2 linked regions of the Lepisosteus oculatus genome follow. The protein of the gene in region 1 purifies or fractionates together with the protein of each later gene. This does not show direct contact. Links are inferred from orthologs where the notes say so. Each region holds a gene or a part of one and is shown in the gene's direction. Other genes may lie near its edges. The genes, in order: signal transducer and activator of transcription 1-alpha/beta and pias1b.

Evidence for each region.
Region 2: the proteins of signal transducer and activator of transcription 1-alpha/beta (region 1) and pias1b purify together in Homo sapiens (affinity purification with western blotting; 5 studies listed by BioGRID). This does not show direct contact. The link is inferred for Lepisosteus oculatus from reciprocal best matches to the Homo sapiens genes STAT1 and PIAS1.

What each region holds. Positions count from the first base shown.
Region 1 is NC_090707.1:26,782,452-26,791,327, reverse strand, and holds the start of signal transducer and activator of transcription 1-alpha/beta, read left to right. Parts: upstream 1-4,552; 5' UTR 4,553-4,601; coding exon 4,602-4,642; intron 4,643-6,377; exon of another isoform or gene 6,378-6,554; intron 6,555-8,876. UniProt on the Homo sapiens protein: Signal transducer and transcription activator that mediates cellular responses to interferons (IFNs), cytokine KITLG/SCF and other cytokines and other growth factors.
Region 2 is NC_090700.1:48,158,637-48,167,823, forward strand, and holds the start of pias1b (E3 SUMO-protein ligase PIAS1), read left to right. Parts: upstream 1-5,102; 5' UTR 5,103-5,120; coding exon 5,121-5,144; intron 5,145-9,187. UniProt on the Homo sapiens protein: Functions as an E3-type small ubiquitin-like modifier (SUMO) ligase, stabilizing the interaction between UBE2I and the substrate, and as a SUMO-tethering factor. Catalyzes sumoylation of various proteins, such as CEBPB, MRE11, MTA1, PTK2 and PML.

The sequences.
Region 1 (8,876 bases):
GGTCTGCCATCTCTCTTGCTGATGGGAGGGCTGGAAGAGGAACAACATGTACAGCTTAGGAGAAACAGTCGATGACCACCATGATCGTCGTTTTACCGTGGCTTTTCGGGAGATCTGTCAGGAATGTGTAAACCAGGACGTACTTCTGAACGATGTCCCTAAAAATGTCATTCATAAAGCCCTGGAATACTATAGGAGCATTAGCCAGGCCAAAGGGCATGACCGGATATTCATAATGACTAAGTGTAGTAATGAAGGCTGTCTTCCACTCATCACCATCACGGATGCGGATGAGGTTGTAGGCGCCCCGAAGGTCAAGTTTGGTGAAGACAGAGGCTCCCTGAAGAGATTCCAATGCAGAGTTAATGAGGGGAAGGAGATACCGGTTCTTGATAGTAATCTCATTCAGGCTCCTGTAATCGATACAGGGCTGCAGGGATCCATCCTTCTTCTCCACGAAAAAAAAACCTGCACAGGCCGGAGAAGTAAAAGGGCGAATGATGGATGTAAAACTCCAGGGCATCAGAGTCTTTCAGAGAAAGTGGGTAGGTTCTTCCTCTTGGAGGCAGGGTTCCAGGTAGTAAGTCAATGGCGCAATCAGAGAGACGGTATGGTGGCAAGGAGAGTGCTTTTTGCTTGCTGAAGGCAAGGTGCAGGTCGCTGTCACGGACGTCCAAAGGGACTAACCGTGGGGAGCAGGAGAGCGGAAAAAGACTCATATGCGTAGCGGCGAGACGGGAAAAAGGCCCAAGCTCATAAGTGCAAAGAGTTCAGGAATGCCGTATAGAAACCTATGCCCTCAGGGAGCGGACGTGGGGCGCCCTGGTGCTAGGCGGGTCTCAGGACATCCGAACGTCAATGCTGAGCGAGGACAGAGTGCAAGACCCGGAAATATATAGCCCAAGGGAAAGAGAGGGACAGGAAGACAGCAGACTGGAAACTAGGGACAGGACAGAGAAGGAGCGCCCTCTGGCTGCAGAGGGCGTGACAGTCGCAATATGCAGAAGAAATCCCGATGGATTCATCCTAGGTCATGTGGACAGAGGAAAGTCTGAGAGGCAACTGCAGGCAACGAGGATGACATTTGGGTCCCCAGGCCAGTAGTTCGCTGTTGGACTGGGAAAAGATGGGGTTGTGCATCTTCAACCAAGGGTATCCAAGAACCAGAGGATGGGAAGGAGAGTGGAGGAGGAGGAATTGGAATGCTCTCGGTGTGGAGGGCGCCAATGCGTAGTGTAAGGGGAATTTTTTCCCATTCAACAAGAGTGAGAGGGGATCCATCAAAGGTGAGGAGGCAGATAGGGGGCGAAACGGGGATGCAAGGAATATTAAAAGTGGTGGGAGTCCGGAGTCTAGGAAGTTTTCCTCTGTGCCTGAATCAACAAAAGCCAGAAGAGATTCTTTGAATCCATCCCTGGAAACCAGTGTGGGCAAAAAAAGGCCAGAAGAGGGAAGGATACCGACCTTGTCAGAGGGCAGGGAAGTACAGGGAGGGCAGACAGGGCATGAAGCTCGGAGATGGCCGGCTGCCACGCAATAAGGGCAACATCCCTCGGAGAGTCGTGGTGTCACTCCTCAGAAGACAGACTAGAGAAGGAGGTTGGGCGGGAGGGGGCAGAAGGGGTTTGAAGCCGGGAGCGTTGTTCTTGGAGCCTGATATTAATTTCGGCCAGATGGTAGATAAGATGCTCCAAGGAGGGAAAGTCCAGTGGAAGATATGCGAGGTGGTCCTGAAAAGCGGAAGACAAGCCCTGGCAGAACTGGTGGATAAGAGCCTCTTCATTCCAGGGCATTTGGGAGGCCAAAAGGTGGAATTCCATAGCATAATCTTGAAAAGTCCGGGAACCCTGGGTGAGAGAGACGAGACAGGAGATGGCTATATGGTGGGAGTGGAGATGACCAAAAATGGACTGCATGGCAGCAGAAAACTGGTTGGCATCAGCAGTCACGGGAAGATTCAGAGTGAGGAGGGAAGTAGCCTAGTCCAGGGCTCGACCGGAGAGGTGAGAGACCATGAAGGCAATCTCTCTGTCAGAGGGAAAATAATCCGGGCGAAGGTGGAAGGCCATCCAGCACTGGGTTAAACTCTGGAGTTTAGCTGGGTCCCCCTCAAATTTCTCCGGGATGGGAGGGGGCAAGAGGCAAGCAGCAGCAGCCAGGGGAGGAGCAGGTACGGGAGCCACCGGAGGAGGTGGGGGACAGGTGGTGTGGTCCACTAGGCATTGAACTGCAGCAGTCAGTTGTCCTAGAGCCTGGGACTGCTGTTGGAAAAAAAAGCAGCAGTGCTGTTATGGTCCGCTGGATCCATGAATAGGCTCAGTATTCTGTCAGAATGGGGCTGATCTGGTCAATGGATCCTGTGCAGAACTCCGGAGACTGAGAAAAACACTAAGCTGAATCGCTAGGCAAAAAAACTAAAACGAGGAAGCAGGAGAGGAGGTCAGAACGCGAAGTCAAAGAGGCAGCAATGATCCAAAACACAAGGCGAAGTCAAATCCAGGAATCAGGTGAGTAGGTCGGAAAACAGAAGTACAACGAGAAAGCAACAATCCAAAACACTAGGCGAAATCGAACACGAGAAGCAAGCAAGGAGATCAGGAACCGGAGAAAAGCTAGAGGAAAACGCGCACTAGGGACCTCAAGGAGAATCTGCAATAGTGAGCGGGGAAATGAGGAAAAAGGAGAACTAAAATAGGGACGGGAGAGAACGGTGATTGGTGTGTTACTTGCGGCGTGAGCGTTTGTTACAGGGTGTACGCGTGGGAATGCGGGAAGGAACAGAGACGCGAGTGGAATGCGTAACACCATTATCTGCTGGATAGAAACTTGCAGCTGATTAAATGCATGAGAATGCTGAGAAAGCACCATACCTCACCTTCTGCAGGGTCCATGTTAAGACTCAGTATACCATTACAGTGCAGAAGAAGGGCCCTAAGCAGAATCCTCTGAACTCAAAAGTACCAGCAAGAGTAAAAAAAACATAGGTCAGGAAGTCAGGCCAGGATCAAAAACCAGTAAATCCACAATAACTAAGTCAAGATCCAGATGACAAAGTCAAGGATCAGAGCCAAAAACCTAGAAATGTTGTGAAGCAGGGGACAATACAACTCTAGCTAGGTAAAACCCAATGTTAAGCAAGGAGTGGTGTGTCAGGTTGTCAAGTAGAAAGGTGGAAGAAGGTGTCTGATTAGTTACTTGGAAACTGCAATGTGAAGGAGATGATTAAGGGCGGTGAGTTCTCCGGGGGCGTGACGTAACATTGTGATTCCAATTACAATAGTAGAAGAGGGGAGAGGAGAGAGATGGAATAGAGGTGCTGTTGGTCCTCGGAGAAGCCAGCTAACTGCATCCATGGCAAAAAGAGGGAAAAACTGGCTTGGCACAGCACCAGCCCTAAATACAATACTAAACAGCCCATTCTTGGATTAAATCACTTTTAAGAACTGGGATATCTGAATATAGAATATAGTGTCTGAATCAGGCAAATTTGCATTGTTTGCATATCAGGCTGTAATGCAGATACCGTATTAGTTTTCATTAGGAGACAGTTATAGTTTTAATATTAATCCAAAAGATTGCATCAGCTTTCTGAAACTATCTTTTGGGGTCACCAGACTGGAAAAACAGAAATGCATCCTCATCCTGTTTACACTTCTCTAGTTATATCAGTATGATTACTGTGACATAAAACCAACTACAAAACTAAGTTAAGACACAAAGAAACATTTTAAAACGTTGTATTGTTCATTTGGGAACAAGTAAAGGTTAGTTCATGCTGAAAAAAGAAGAAAAAGTACTGGTTCCTTTCCGACCTACACATGCTGACGCAGTTACCTACTTGAACAATTGTTCATTTATTTCAATTAAATTCGTTATATATCATATAAAATAAAGGGTTTGAATAGAATTCCGGGTCGTGCCATTGCTTTTCCTTGTTCTGTACAACAATCAAAATCCATTATTGTTGAGCCACAACTACACAAGTAGCCTACTTCTATCCACATATAGAACAGATAATTATTGTTTTCATAAACTCAGGTCTGCTTTCATAAGATCTTTACAGCAGCATTACGGCTGGTTACTACTATCAAACATTTAAAAGTCAACACGTATTACGATAACAAAAAATCGATTTAATATCCGTAAAGGAATGCTGTGAATTAAACAATTAAACATTATAACAATGGGGGAAAAAAAACAATTACATATTTTAATTTTTACAAAACGCTCCTCGTTCTGCTTCACCACAGAGCTTAAAAGTCTTAAAAGCTTAAAGTCTTAAAAATCCTGGAGGGAGAAAATAAGCTGCAGCTGCAAAAGCAGCCGCTTGGTAAAGTTGAGACTAACAATCAGAAAGAGATAAAAAAAAACCGTTTGGCTCCAATTAAAGTTTCGTTTCTCTGTTTCCTTTCAATGCAGTGATCTCCCAGATCCTTTCGGTTTCTCGGAAACCTCGTGATACAGCTCTTATGCCAGTCGGCCTTCCTCCCTGAAACAGCTAGCGGAATAAAGCTATCCTTCTCCAGAAGGCGTTTCTAGCTAATACAGCTGTAGCATAGGGTTAAGGGTGTGGTCGGCGTACCGCAGCTAAAGGAAGAAAGATGAACGGCCTCATTTTTTCAAGCAAGGATGTTGGTAACAGGTAAAGGTTACAGATGAAAGCAGGTTTGCTTCCTGCAATAATCCAATTATTTGATCAAGCCACTCCTAAGATCCGAGAGAAATGGTTGTAACACTGTAACTCAGCAGTTTGTTCTAAGATATCAGTGTTTGATAAAGGAATGTCCTGTTTTCTTTCACGGATGCTCCCCTTTAATTTTCTCGTGCGTCGCCGATTATTTGAAGATGTCAGATGCCTTTCCTAGCACAATACTTCTCATGATATTTAAGAACACTAACACATATCTATATTGTCGTCTTTCCCCCAAAACTGTGACTTGACAAATTATTGAAAAACATTTAAAAAATGTAAGCTCAGTCTCAGAATCAATGGGCACAACTAGTGGGAGTAAACATTTCGATGTATATGTTTTGCATTATCTTTTCAATTTCAATACATTCACTTTTAAAATCCCTAACTGTAGATTGATCTGCAAACGGCTACAGAAGAGATTTTCGCTGTTTTAAAAGTAAGATTAAAGTACATCTTTTAGTCCTTTGTGATAGATTCTCATTACTTGCAGAGTTTTGTGATTGTCTTGTATCACCTTCTGAATTTATACATATTTTGATTTAATTAACTACTTCAGTTAAGATGATTTTCGAATGTCAAGCTGTGTTTTCTAGAATAAAACTGTTCTTGAAACACTGTTTCTTAAACTATTTCAGCAAAACTGTAATTTCCTGGAATGAAAAAGTACTGTATGATGCATCATTTGCAAATAAGTAAAGATATTTAACAGGCAAAAGTAACTAAATGTCAGCAAAGAAACATACTGGATCCTTTTTCAGTCTGAAATTTCTTTAGTTCTGAACTAGATGTGTTTTGTACACTATAAGATAACTCTTTACAGGTTTTTGTAATCCTGAACCCAGGAGTCCACTTGGGGGCTTAATCTAAGACCTATAGTGAAACAAAATCCTGAAGGTACAAGTGGAAATTGAGGGAATGTACATTTAAGACAGTGAAAACTGGTGTCTGTTCAATATGTGTTAAAATTTTCTGGAGCAGGCTAGCCAGTTATATAATTGAAGCAAATCTTCTGTGATTCTTTGAAAAACGTCTGGACGAGATCTGCAGATCACATAGCAAGACAATACAATTAATAATAATAATAATAATAATAATAATAATAATAATAATAATAATAATAGCTAACACTTATATAGCGCTTTTCTGGATACTCCACTCAAAGCGCTTTACAGGTAATGGGGACTCCCCTCCACCACCACCAATGTGCAGCATCCACCTGGATGAAGGTGAGCAGAATGGCCTCCTCTGGTTTGTAACCTTTTTATGTACTTATGTTTATGCTTAATCTTATGGTACAATGAAATCTTTTACCAAATTCCAAATTCCAAATTATTTGATATATTTTTAATACAACAATATCATTTACAATTAGGATTTTAATTTTTGTAAATTGTCAAAGAAAAATAATTTGCTAAATTACACCGTAAGTATGCACATTTGTCTAGGTTTCTGCGTCTCACAAAATCTCATGGGAAAGTAAACTTTCTATTTCTCCTACAGGCTGGGGAAATTACGAGGGAGGGTTGACTAATGTTTAGAACAGCTCCTACTCCCTGAGCCTTTAAAAAAAAGTGGGAAAGACAATTTCCTCTTTACGTTGGTTGGCTTTCGAAGAGGAATTGGGTGTTAGTGAGCAAACTCTTATTTGTGATTGGCTGAGAGGCATGCCAATTGTTTGTTTCTGGTCAGCTGGCAAGATGACATCCAGTTAATAAGAACGTCAGAGTTAGTTTCGTTTTTCGAGGTGTTTTGAGTGAGAGAAATCATTTTTCTGAAGTCTACAAGGTTGAGACCAGTGAATGTCCTTTCTTCTGTTCGACGTTTTGTTAAGTGTTTATTTTAAACGGATCAAATATTAAAGGTTAGTAAACAGTTTGATTTAAATACGAAGTTTTATTTACAGGAAGTCGGGAGAGGCTCTGTAGCTGTAGTGATGGACCCTTTACATACAGTACGGTTGCTTTGGAAATTACTGTTGGCGTCGTCATTGCTATACTGTTTTTGATGAGGTTATATATACTGTATATATTTTTACCTTAAGTAGTTATTAACACAACTTCAGGAGTGACAATAGGAGTGTTTTATTCTATAATAATTTTTTTATATGGTATACTGTAGAGATCATACAGTACTGTACACTGGTAATTAATAAAGTTATCTAAAAACACACTCCATGATATACCATAGTTTATCACAGCACAGTCCTATTTAATTATACTAGTAGTGGTTAATATAAAGAATGATATGTTGTAATTATATCGTATTTTCTTTTATATATTTTTGTCTCAATCTTTCTGAATCTTGAAATGATATTCATAAATATTTCTGTTCTCTATTTTGATAAAAAGTTAAGTAAATGTACTTCTTGCAATTTTCGAACTGTATTAATGTATTTTGCTGATGATTTGATCAGGTCTCAAAAATGTTTATACTGCCCTTACATAAACGGCAAGGACTTCTGAAAATGAGAAGTCCCAGATTGCCCTGCAGTTATATTTGAAGTTACTGTATTTGCTAGAGCCTAAATTTCCAGTTGGCCTTTCCGCAATTGGAATTATAGAATAGACCCACCTAGGCTATAGTACTGAGATATCAGACTCATTTTATGGAAGGCCTTGTGTCACAAATTTGATATTTAATGGTGAATCCTACTAGATGGGAGCTAAGGTTTTAGACCCCTAATCTACTGTATTTGTGAAAGTGAAAACTGGCTTTATTTTATTTCAGTGCCCATCACAAGTATACCATTAAATAACATGGGCAGTCATTTGTTAAGCAACAATTTTAAAAGCATGTGTGAAGAACCTTTTATTCACAAGTTTTTACTTGTACTGTCCTAATTGCGCAAACATTTACTAGTCTAAAGTTTTAAAGTTGATTTTCTCAGTCATAACATTGAGCATCATAGTCAAAATGGCTGAAACAAATTGTGTGTGTGGGGGGTCCAAAATATGAATTTCAACTTAAAGTAAACTGTTTTGCACTGTTTTTTAAACTAACAAAATTTTTACTTCTGTCCAGTTATGTCTGTTCTTTAGGAACAGACAGTCTTATTTAGGATGCTGAACTGATTAACTTAATGATGCTGCCTGGTTGTTAACCTGAAGCTTATACTTTTAATGTTTTCTGACCTAATAGATTTGAACCGCATCAAAAAAGGTGTTGTTAATTTGTTTTTAAATGTGTAAAAAATGTATTTTGCACTTTTTAAATCTAGAATTGGAATTTTTTCTCATACATGTACCCAGTTTGGAATAGACAGCTTACTATTTTTCAGATCCTGGTTCATGGCTCAAACCCTGCAGCTGCACACAGGAGAGAAGGAGGAAGTGTAGTAGACTCCTTGAACCCTCTCACTTTCATACATTTCACAGTTCCATGAAGGAGGTTCTGACCAACTACTCCCTTGCTGGCGTTGAGCCAAAAGTTCTTCATCACTTGTGGGATTGCAATCACATTTGGCTGGTGAAATGAAGTGGGTTTGAACTCATGATGCCTGGCTCAAACCTGCATTTGGGTGAACACTTCTGTCAGTTTTTTTAGGGTCATTCTATATGATTTTTAGGGAAAAGATTAGTCTACAATAGATTTGCTGCATTTGTTTTCAATGTGTGTCTACAGCAAGACATTTCCTTTGGTGTTGATTACTGATAGTAGTAGTGACCATTTCTACACTGTAGGATTTCTGCTGCCCATAGTGATTATTGGCACCTAGAGTTGTTTAATGTCCTTTTATTTGATCTTGGGAGACAGGAATATATTGCTTTCTTGATGATCCCACAGGTGTATGGCTGCAGGGTTGAGGTCAGTGCCCTGTTCAGTTGTGTATGTCCACAGCCCTAGAATGTTTATAGTTTTTTTTTTTGGATGCTCACTTAACTCACTTAATGTGTTGAAAAATGCTTTAGGAGTAGGGAACCCAGCTTTAGTTCTTGGTATAACTGGTAAGATCTTGGAAAAATCATGAGTTTATCAGATTGTGATCCAAAAAAATCTGAGGAAATTCTGGGAAGACTTTCAAGCTCAGCTGGTAAGCATAGAAGATAACTCCACACCATCAGAGATCACAAGTGAGATTGTTTAAATCCTAATTAAGTGATGTCATTATTGATTTAAGTTCCTCATGCCATAGAGATACACAGTATGACTGGTATTCAGCCGCTGTGCCTTTAAGAACTCTAAG
Region 2 (9,187 bases), on another chromosome or scaffold:
ACACTTGATTTCGGCTATTTGGTGAAGTGCGCTTCTTTGTGAATGAACAGAAAGCCACGTAGGTCCATGACAGATTTAACGCGCTCCAAACTGAAAGGCATGACAGTTGACGGAAGTTAAGTGTCCACTCGAAGCGCTTGCAAGGCTGGATACGCCCAGGGCGGAACAGTGCGTCGCGGGACACAAACACGAGCGCCCACTTAGTGAAGCCAGTTATCCGGGACACGACTGGACTTTGGACCGTGGGAGAAACACCACGAGGCCACACGGGAGAGTACACAAACTCCCCGTGGAAAGTGTTCCGGCACCACCAGTGTGTTTGTGAAAGGGAGGCGGAGCGTGACGCCAAGCAGTATAAGAGTCTATCTGACGGAGGGGGTCTGGCGGGTCGGTGTCTTGTGCTCCTTCAGACCCCTGGCGCGACCTGCTGAATGAGGGAATATGTGTATTATTATTATTTAAAAGCCTGTATTCCGGTTGAATTACATAAAAAGAAGCGACAATCGGCCTCGATTTGGGGTGACATGTCAGGTGGACAAAGCTGACCCCGCGGCTGGCTCGCTGTAGTAACAGTGGGGAGACCACCGAGACCGCGTCATCCCCGGTCCATGCCCCTTCCACACTAGCACGCAATAAGGATAAAATAAAATAAATAAAATAAAAAAAAACCTATAGAAGAAAATGACCTTCGTTCCCCCCCCCCATCATTTATTTTCGCCATGTGATGGATGAGATGAGCAAGTGTCCGTCGTGCCTCGCAATACAGTTAAGAAAGAGAGCGTGAGGTCCGGTCTCCCTCCACCAGGTGATGGACCCTCACACTCACCCCAGCCCGCTCAGAGTCGTGCAAACATTCAAGGGAAAGATGGCTGTGAAAACAGACACGCGTGTAGGAGAAGGCTGAACAGAAACGGCAGAGGAGTCCGAAAATTACTGTGCAGTATCATCGTGTCAAAATTCATTAGAGAATCAACAGCGTCATGTTTTAGTATAGCTACAAATGTCACAGTAGCTCTTAAAAGCACCGTATTCATTGTAGGTGAACATCAACAGTCTCAGAATGCCAACTCCAGTTAAGCTGGGTTCCCTGGATTAATACAAGATCTCCATCTGGTGGACAAACAGCAAAACGCAATGAAAGGGAAGAAAATAGACGTTCTGTACGGAGTTTATATACAATACTGTATTCCATTAGTAGCATCTTTGTGAATGCGTTTTAAGCTTTTATTTTTTTAAAATGTTAGTATTACCATAATTCTAAATACAATTTCTTATGTTTAGAATCATAATTCTAATATCAATCTTTGCTACAACTCAATTTGTACCAAACGTTTTTTGCCTTATCTATGGATTGTAAAAAATATTCCTCATATAATTGATGTTTTACACACAACAGATGCTTTCAATTGTGCATTAGAATATGTACAATTAACCATTTAGTTTAATTAATAAAATGTAGGTATTTCAGGCCAATGGCACACCAGAACCTTCTCTTTAATGATAAAATGAATAATTCTTTCATGGGGACCTGATAATCCTCATCTTCATATAAGATGCTCCAAAACTGCCCTTCCACAAATATTTAAGGTCTCTACTGTTTAAATATTCCAAAGCTGGATTCTTATTCTTTGTTTTATTAATACATACAATCCATGGATGTGTATATCCAGAAAACATGAAGGTTATCTCATGACCTTCAGTTGAATCCGTATGTTGAGAGTATTATTCAAACATTGTATATACTCTTGCAATTAAATTAAGCAGAAAGACATTTGCCTGCTTTCTTGGTTAATTCTGAGACTCTTGTCCTTAAGCTCTTGACTGCAAGTGGTAACGTTTTTGTGAGAGCAAGGAGAGCATCTACTTTAAGATCAGAAGAAATGAACAGTTTAATTCAAGGGCAGGTTGTGTTTTTCTGAAGAGAGGAATCATCCAAATAATAGACACACACACACACACAACTAAGGTTGCTGCTGGAAGAGGTGTTAGTGGGGCCAGCAGGGGGTGCTCACCCTGTGGTTTCTGTGGATCCTACTGGCCCAGTATAGTGAAGGGGACCTTATGAAAGGGACACTTTTTCCACCATAAAGAAGGTATTGTCCTTCAGATGAGATGTAAAAGCAAGGTCCTGGCTCTCTTTGGTCATTAAAAGTCCCAGGGCTTTTTTTTTTTTTAAAGAGTAGGAGTTTAACAAAGTTTCCCCTGGCCTTCTAATAATCCCTGTCTCTGAACTGGCTACCTCATCCTCATGACTATCCTCATAGTCATTCTTTCAAATCCAATGTGCTGGTGTACAGAGCCAAACCAAATATTATCACTCTGTTCTCCTCCACACTGAGAGCTGGTGTGTGGGGAGCGTACTGGTGCACTATGGCTGCCATTGCATCATGCAGGCGAGGGCTACACACTGGTGAAGGTGGAGGGGAGTCCCCGCTACCTGTTAAGTGCTTTGAGTGGAGTGCCCAGAAAAGCACTATAGAAGCGTACAGATTATTTATTATTTACTTCAATGAAGTTCTTGCCCAACACTTCAATGTGACATACAGGTCCTTGTTTCACCACTGACGAGGACACAAACGGCACTAAAGCCTTGTGCCCTGCAGTATTTGTTCATGTCGGAGAAGAGTGTTCTGTGAAATGAAATGCAGTAATTCAGCCAGCATGTGTGTCTATTGCAGTGAACTCCTACAAAAACCAAGCAAGTTGTAGCATTTGAAGTCGTGCTAAAAGCATGCAAAAGTTGTGATAGTGTCCTACAAAAAACTGAGGAAACATGGCAAAACAGAGGAGATGCATGTTAAAACTGCTTCAAAGCTGCTCCTTTCTTGCAGTAAGTGTTGAGATTGGAGAAGCAGGATTCTGTCCTACTTTCATAATCCACTGCGACCCATGATCCCCTGAAACCAGTGCTGTAGGTATCGTAGTCTCTGCTGACTGTGATAGGAGTGTGAAATATTGTGTGTGTGTGTGTGTGTGTGTGTGTGTGTGTGTGTGTGTGTGGGGTAGAGCAAGATCTGAAGTTCTTCCGTTGAACTGTTCAAAGCTCTTCAGTTCAGTTCAACTTTTGTTCCTTGACTTTTTTTTTTAATAAGATGTCCAAATTTCTACCCTGTGTTGGTTCAGTCTCCAGGCCTAATAAAGCTCTTGAGCACCCCTGCAGCCAGACAGGACGGAAATCGTTCTGCAGGAGAAACTCGTTACAGCTCACAGTGCAGCTGAGCAGAGGAGCCAGAGACCCAGAAACCCCCCTGCTGCTTAACCTGAATTCCCTGTGCTGTCATTCTCCTCTTCCTCCTCTTCTTTTTAGCGAATGTTTCGGAGCCATGCCTTAACCAAGGCTTGCTCTCTGTCCTTCGCTCTCTCCATTATCCTGTACTTGACAAACCCTTCCCAGTTCCTGCAGTATTCGGAAGAATAGAAGGGGTTTCAAGAAGCTGCACACCTCAGATCTGATGATTGTGTTTCTGCTTTCCTGGTCACGCCATCAGAAATAGTACTCTACATTTTCATCTCAGGTTGTCTTTATCAACCACTGTAACGAAAAAAAAACCCCAGCATGTTCTTGTTTTCTGAAAATGGTGAATTCATAAATCGATAAAGTTTATATTCTCACAACACTATCACCTTCCTGAAAGGCAGGGAAAATGCAAGTCGTGTGGATATTTTACATGTCAGGGGTCACTTGCCAGATGAGAGGGACATATTCACCAGAGGGTGTCGAGTGTCCGCGAGGAATAAAGATTAGAAAGGATGTATATGTGGTGCCCGTGTTTAATTCACAGAAGAAAAAGAGAAAATAATAACAACATTAAACCGAAACGCAGTTAGAGAGAAAAAAACGTGGAAAGGGGAGAAGAAGCAGACGCTGATTAAAAGCCTGACGAAGCAGTGAAGTCTTCAGTCTAGATTTAAAGACTGTGAAAGAGCTGACGTTTCTCGGAGTGGCAGGGAGTGAGTTCCAGAGCCGAGGAGCAAGGTGGGTGAAAGAGCGAGCCTGAAGACGCCCGGACCTGTAAGAGGGTTCTAATATAAGGTTGGGCTCAGCAGAGCGTATAGCCCAGCTGGGTACACAGGGGGTAATGAGAGATGCTACGTATTGCAGGGGTTTGGTGAGAAGAGCTTGAAAAGCTAAGAGTACAGTTTTGAACTGAATGCGCTGGGTAATAGGGAGGCAGTGAGGTAGAGGTAGTCGTGTCAGAATTGGGGAGATGTGATCGCCGAGCCTTGAATGAGTTACAAGCTGAGCAGCTGAGTTTTTGGATCTATTCATGAACAATCTTTGCTCTCAAAGAGGAACCTGAGAGTTCGGTTTGTACTGTAGGTGTAGAGAGGTGCATATACAGTAGCTTACTAGAAAAAAAAAGATAATCTGTTGGTTTTCACCTTCAGAAAGGTTATAGAGGAGGCCATGAGGTCTGCCTTGCCTGTCGTGCCACATTCCTCCATGCATTGGGCATGTCTGCTTTGTATGTATGAGCAAACGTGTGTTGGGGATCTAGGGAAGACTCTCCATAAAGCAGAAAAATTGTGGGTGCAGTTTTGCATACATTTCAAATGGATTTCAGCGTACCGTTCTTTGTCAAATGAGCAGTGTCACATATGACTGTTGATATGGCCTACTAAAATGTGGCAAATGGGTTTTGGAAATGGATGATTGATTTACATGTGTCTGTGCCCTACACAACCCCGTAGCGCTGTGTTAAGATTCTGTAGTGTTCCAAGTGTATTCCAGTGGCTGGAATGGAACATTTCAGCTGTTTATCTCTTTCATTGGCTGTATATATGAAATTACTCAAACTCTAGGAAAGCAGTGGGACATATTAAATCTTTGCTCAGAAGGACAGTTTTATATAAATATGTGTTTATTTTCTGGAGACACAAGACAGTTCCACGACTTCAACATATGAGAATCTTATTTATTGTCATAATTACGGCCCAGTATGGCTTACATTGTTCATGCTGGCTGCAAAGAGCTTCGAGTTGCACAGCCGGCCCTGAGCAGCCACGCGCTGGGGAGAAAAGGCGCCAAGATTTAAAAAAACTTTGCGTGAGGACGTCAGCGTGCCTTACGTCCGTCCCACGTGCCGGGGGTTGATCACGCCTGCGCCAAGAGTTACAAGATGGCGGAGAGTGCGGAACTGAAGGTAAGGCGCAGCTTTAAATCACATTTGATATAATCGGTTAATTCTTGTTATTAAGCCCATAGAAGGACACTCTGTTGTGTATTAATTCACAGAGAAGGCGCTTAGGGGAGTATTCGTTAGTGTAAATGTTGCAGAACTCGAAGTTCAGTTGTAGTTCTGCGCGATGCTCGAGAACATGTTATTGTTGATGTTCAGACTGCTGTGTTTTGTAGCCACAGTTCTGCCTTTGAAGATTCCGAGTCCCATAGGTCTGTGGTATTTTCCGAGGTAATTAAAGTTGGCAGCTTGGCAGAGTGAGCTCCCCGCCTGCGGAGTCCTGCTGCCCGTGCGCAGGTGAGCGCTGCATCGCCAACAATAGCGGGGCAAAGAGGGCTGGCGCCGCCGTGTTGTCGTCCTGTCAGGTACGGTGTGCTGAAACGATGATGGAGCGGTGCTGTTTTCTCGAGTCCAGCCGCCGGACCCGTTGTTCGGGGCTTCGCACCGCAGCCTGGAAGTGGTTCGATCGGGGAGGGGTGAGGCGATCGCTGTCTGTCCCAGGCTTTATCGCTGGGTGTTAGCAGTGCTCCAGTGTTTCTCGATGCTCGGTTAGTCGTAGCGGTTTTTTTTTTTCCTGTCCGAAAGAAAAGGAGACTCTCGGAATAACTCAACATCCGCTCACTCCTTGAGCTGCTTTCAGGCGAAATGAAAACAAAAGATGCTGTACTTTGAAGACTCTCGACTGCTCCTCTGCCTGGTGTGTGATAGTAGGAGCTGGAGTTCGTAATGAGTGGTTCTCTGCGCTTTGTGCACACCGATATTGGCGATGTTAGCTGTGTGTCTCGTTCAAGTTTTTTATGTTGGTTTTTACTAGATACCGTGAATGAAGCAGCTCATTCCGTATCGTGGCTCGCCGTGAAAAACTTCATCTCACCAGCTGGTGCATTGCTGCATGGAAAGTTTGATACGAATATATCCCTTTGTTAAAAAGTTTCCCTTAGAGCAAATGTGCATCAAAATAATAAGCGAAAGCAGAAATCGAATCCACGTTTTCTTTGTAAATATAATCCTATAATCATTTTTTTTAATCCAGCATTTTCTTGGATTTGTAATAGTTGACTGCACTGATGCATTCAAATATTTGAATTCGCCGGTTGTAAACATAGCTAGCGTTAGTGTAATTTTATTAAGCTATGTTTTAACCTGATGTTCCGCATGTTTGAATCGGATGACCATCAAGCACGCTGGAGTGAGAGTGTAGAGTTGAGACCGGCACAGTGGAAACGAGAGTAGCAGGCGAAAGCGCATGTGTATCTCCAGCTCCTCACCTACAGCCTAGAGCTGCTGGGATGGTGGAGAGAGAACCGAGGAACCTACAACAGAAGCTGTGATAGTTGTCTCTCGCCTGACACAGTAATGTTTGTGTTCAAGTCTGTGGACAGCGATAAAGCCGAGGGGATAGGTAATACCTCCAGAGGAGAAGTTCATTGATGCATCCCGACATGGCAAGTTAAAGATGCAGTGCGTTTTTCAGACTCGTATTCTTGTGTGTGTTTTTAACATGTGGGGGAATCTGTGCTTTTTATTTATAGACAACGCTTTGATGGGAGTAGCAAAACTGGATGCCTGTAATGTACCTTCATCACTTTTTGGAAAATTAATTCACAATATAAAAACTCTTGCTGTTTTTAAGTGTGACCGAAGGTTGGACCTTTGGCTAAGCGATGGTGGAAGTAATCTTGTAGGAAGTGACACCTGACCCCTAAAGGACTGTTATTGATCTTAATAATGACTTATCGAATGAATTGATCAAGGATATGCAGCTGACTCATTTAGGAGACTGATCAGTTTGGGGCCCATGTGGTTTTCTGGCAAAACGGAGTTGGATCTGCATGCAATCTGTTTCTATCGGTCACGGGTAGAACAGCAGTGGTGTGCTCTGTATCTGTGTAGCTGTGGCGGTACAGCGTTTGCTCAGGTCGGTGCTCTCTGAGGAAGGAAGTGAAGCGGTGGAGTGACTGGATCTCGGACTCTGTCAGGCGGCCCTGTGGCTTTGAAAGGTCATTGTTCTTTTCAGAGGTGAACTGTTCTAGTAACGGCATATCATTTCTTGTCTGGAGGAGCTTTCATTTTCATTTAAACAGATGTTTTTGGTAAAATACTGTTTTTAAAATCAATTTGTCAAGTTTCTTATGAAGTTGGATTTTTGAGCCAGTGTTGAAGAAATTGTCCATTGAGGAGAAATGTCTTGCTCTTGGTGGGGAGCAATTGTATTATGAGAATAGTAGGGTCTCTTGATCCCCTTGCTGTAGCTACCCAGGAGCAGGTGTGATTCTGTGCCCTTTCCTCTGACTCCCAGCAACTCTGTATACCCAGTGGTGTCTTGCACTCTTGGATGAGGTTCCAATTCAACATTTTGTTTTAAATTCAGACTTGACCTGGGGCTTCAGAGCGCGGTACTTAGTTGTGACTTGATTACACTGGACAGTGAGTTGGGCTCAACTTGATCTTGGGACCTCGGAGTTCTGGAGTCACGCTTGATTTAAAATCTTGGGAAACTATTTGGACTCTTAACTTGTTTCCAAGTTGTTTCTTAACTTTTAACTTGTAGGAGATGTTAAAATTATAGAACAAAGTTTGTGCATTGAATTATTTTTGCTGTAAGTTTTTAGGTTATTGTGGCTAGTGAAACAAGTGAAAATGAATTTGTTAGATATTTTGGCTCCGATTAGGAGACAAAAAACATTAAAACATGGAAGTGTGAGTAATATTTTTCTATTTCTTGTCAGCCATTTCTTTCTCCAAAGTACATGGTAAAAAATCTGTTCTTTAGTTTGACTTTGTATGACCTTGTAGTAATTTTTACTATGGTGGATCCATAGGTATTTTATTTTTGTAGTCTATACGTTATCTTCACATGGATGCATTTTTCCACTCTTTAAAGAAGTAACCCAAAATAATTTTGCATTTTTATACAAAGGAATACTTGATTTATGGATTTAATGCATTAAGGGTGCTTATCAGCAAGGTAGAAATCACAGCAGCGCTCTCACAGGAAACAGTGCAGCAGCTACATGGCAGTGTCATACGGCTGTCGGACCCGTGTGAAAGGGGTGATGAGGAGGGGGTACTGTCCGAGCCTGCGGTGAAGGTGTGACAGGCAGTGCCCACGGCCCCCACAGAGTGGGTAGATTCCTGGCTCCTGTGCCGACTGTGAGTGGGCAGATCTTACTGACCGAGCATTGAAGCACAGGCATCGAGCAACCCACTCGATCTATTTTGGGCGTTCTCGTGAATTTAAAGGACCGTGTATGTTCTCATTTATCTGTGGGTCGGGTCCCACTTTGTATGTGTGCTCAGCCACTAGCTACTGTACTAGAATGGGGATACAATTGGAAAAATTGAACAATATTTGGAAAATGTTGAAAATGTAACCAGAAAGGCTCTAATACCTGGAACAACAAGCATTAGTGTGGAATGTTTAATTAATTAATTTATGTGTAGTTTGGAAGAAATGCTTTTTAAAAAATAAAATGCATTTGGAGAAAATGGGAAGTCGCTTAAAGACAGAAGGGCCCAATCTGTTTCTGCATCCCTGCTTATTGGACTGTGCTTTCTACATAGGCCTGAATTTTCTTTTGACTGCAGTTAAAAACACTGATGTATTAATCCTAACATATTGAAAATTCATTGTTTCATGTCTTTGTTCTGTGTGAAGAAGCAACAGGTCACAGATGAACTGAGGTCAATATGAACCAGAGCTAAAAGCTTCCAGTTTGTCTGTTTCTGTAGTAGAGTATTTACTTTGTCTAATAACGTAAGAAAAAAATATTATAAATTAATGGTTGTGCATTTCAATACATCTATATGATTCAGTTTAATCTGGAATTTTTAATGTCTTCAGAGTTGTCTTCTATGTTTATTGCTAGCCGTCTTAGAAGAGCAACAGTGTGTCCATGAAGGGGTTTTCCAGTTTACTTTTTTTGGTGTCTTTTCCTGGCTTTCAGGGTTGTTGTGAAAGAGGTGGTTGTCCATTATTCTGAAGTCTCTTGTACTGTTTTTTGGTG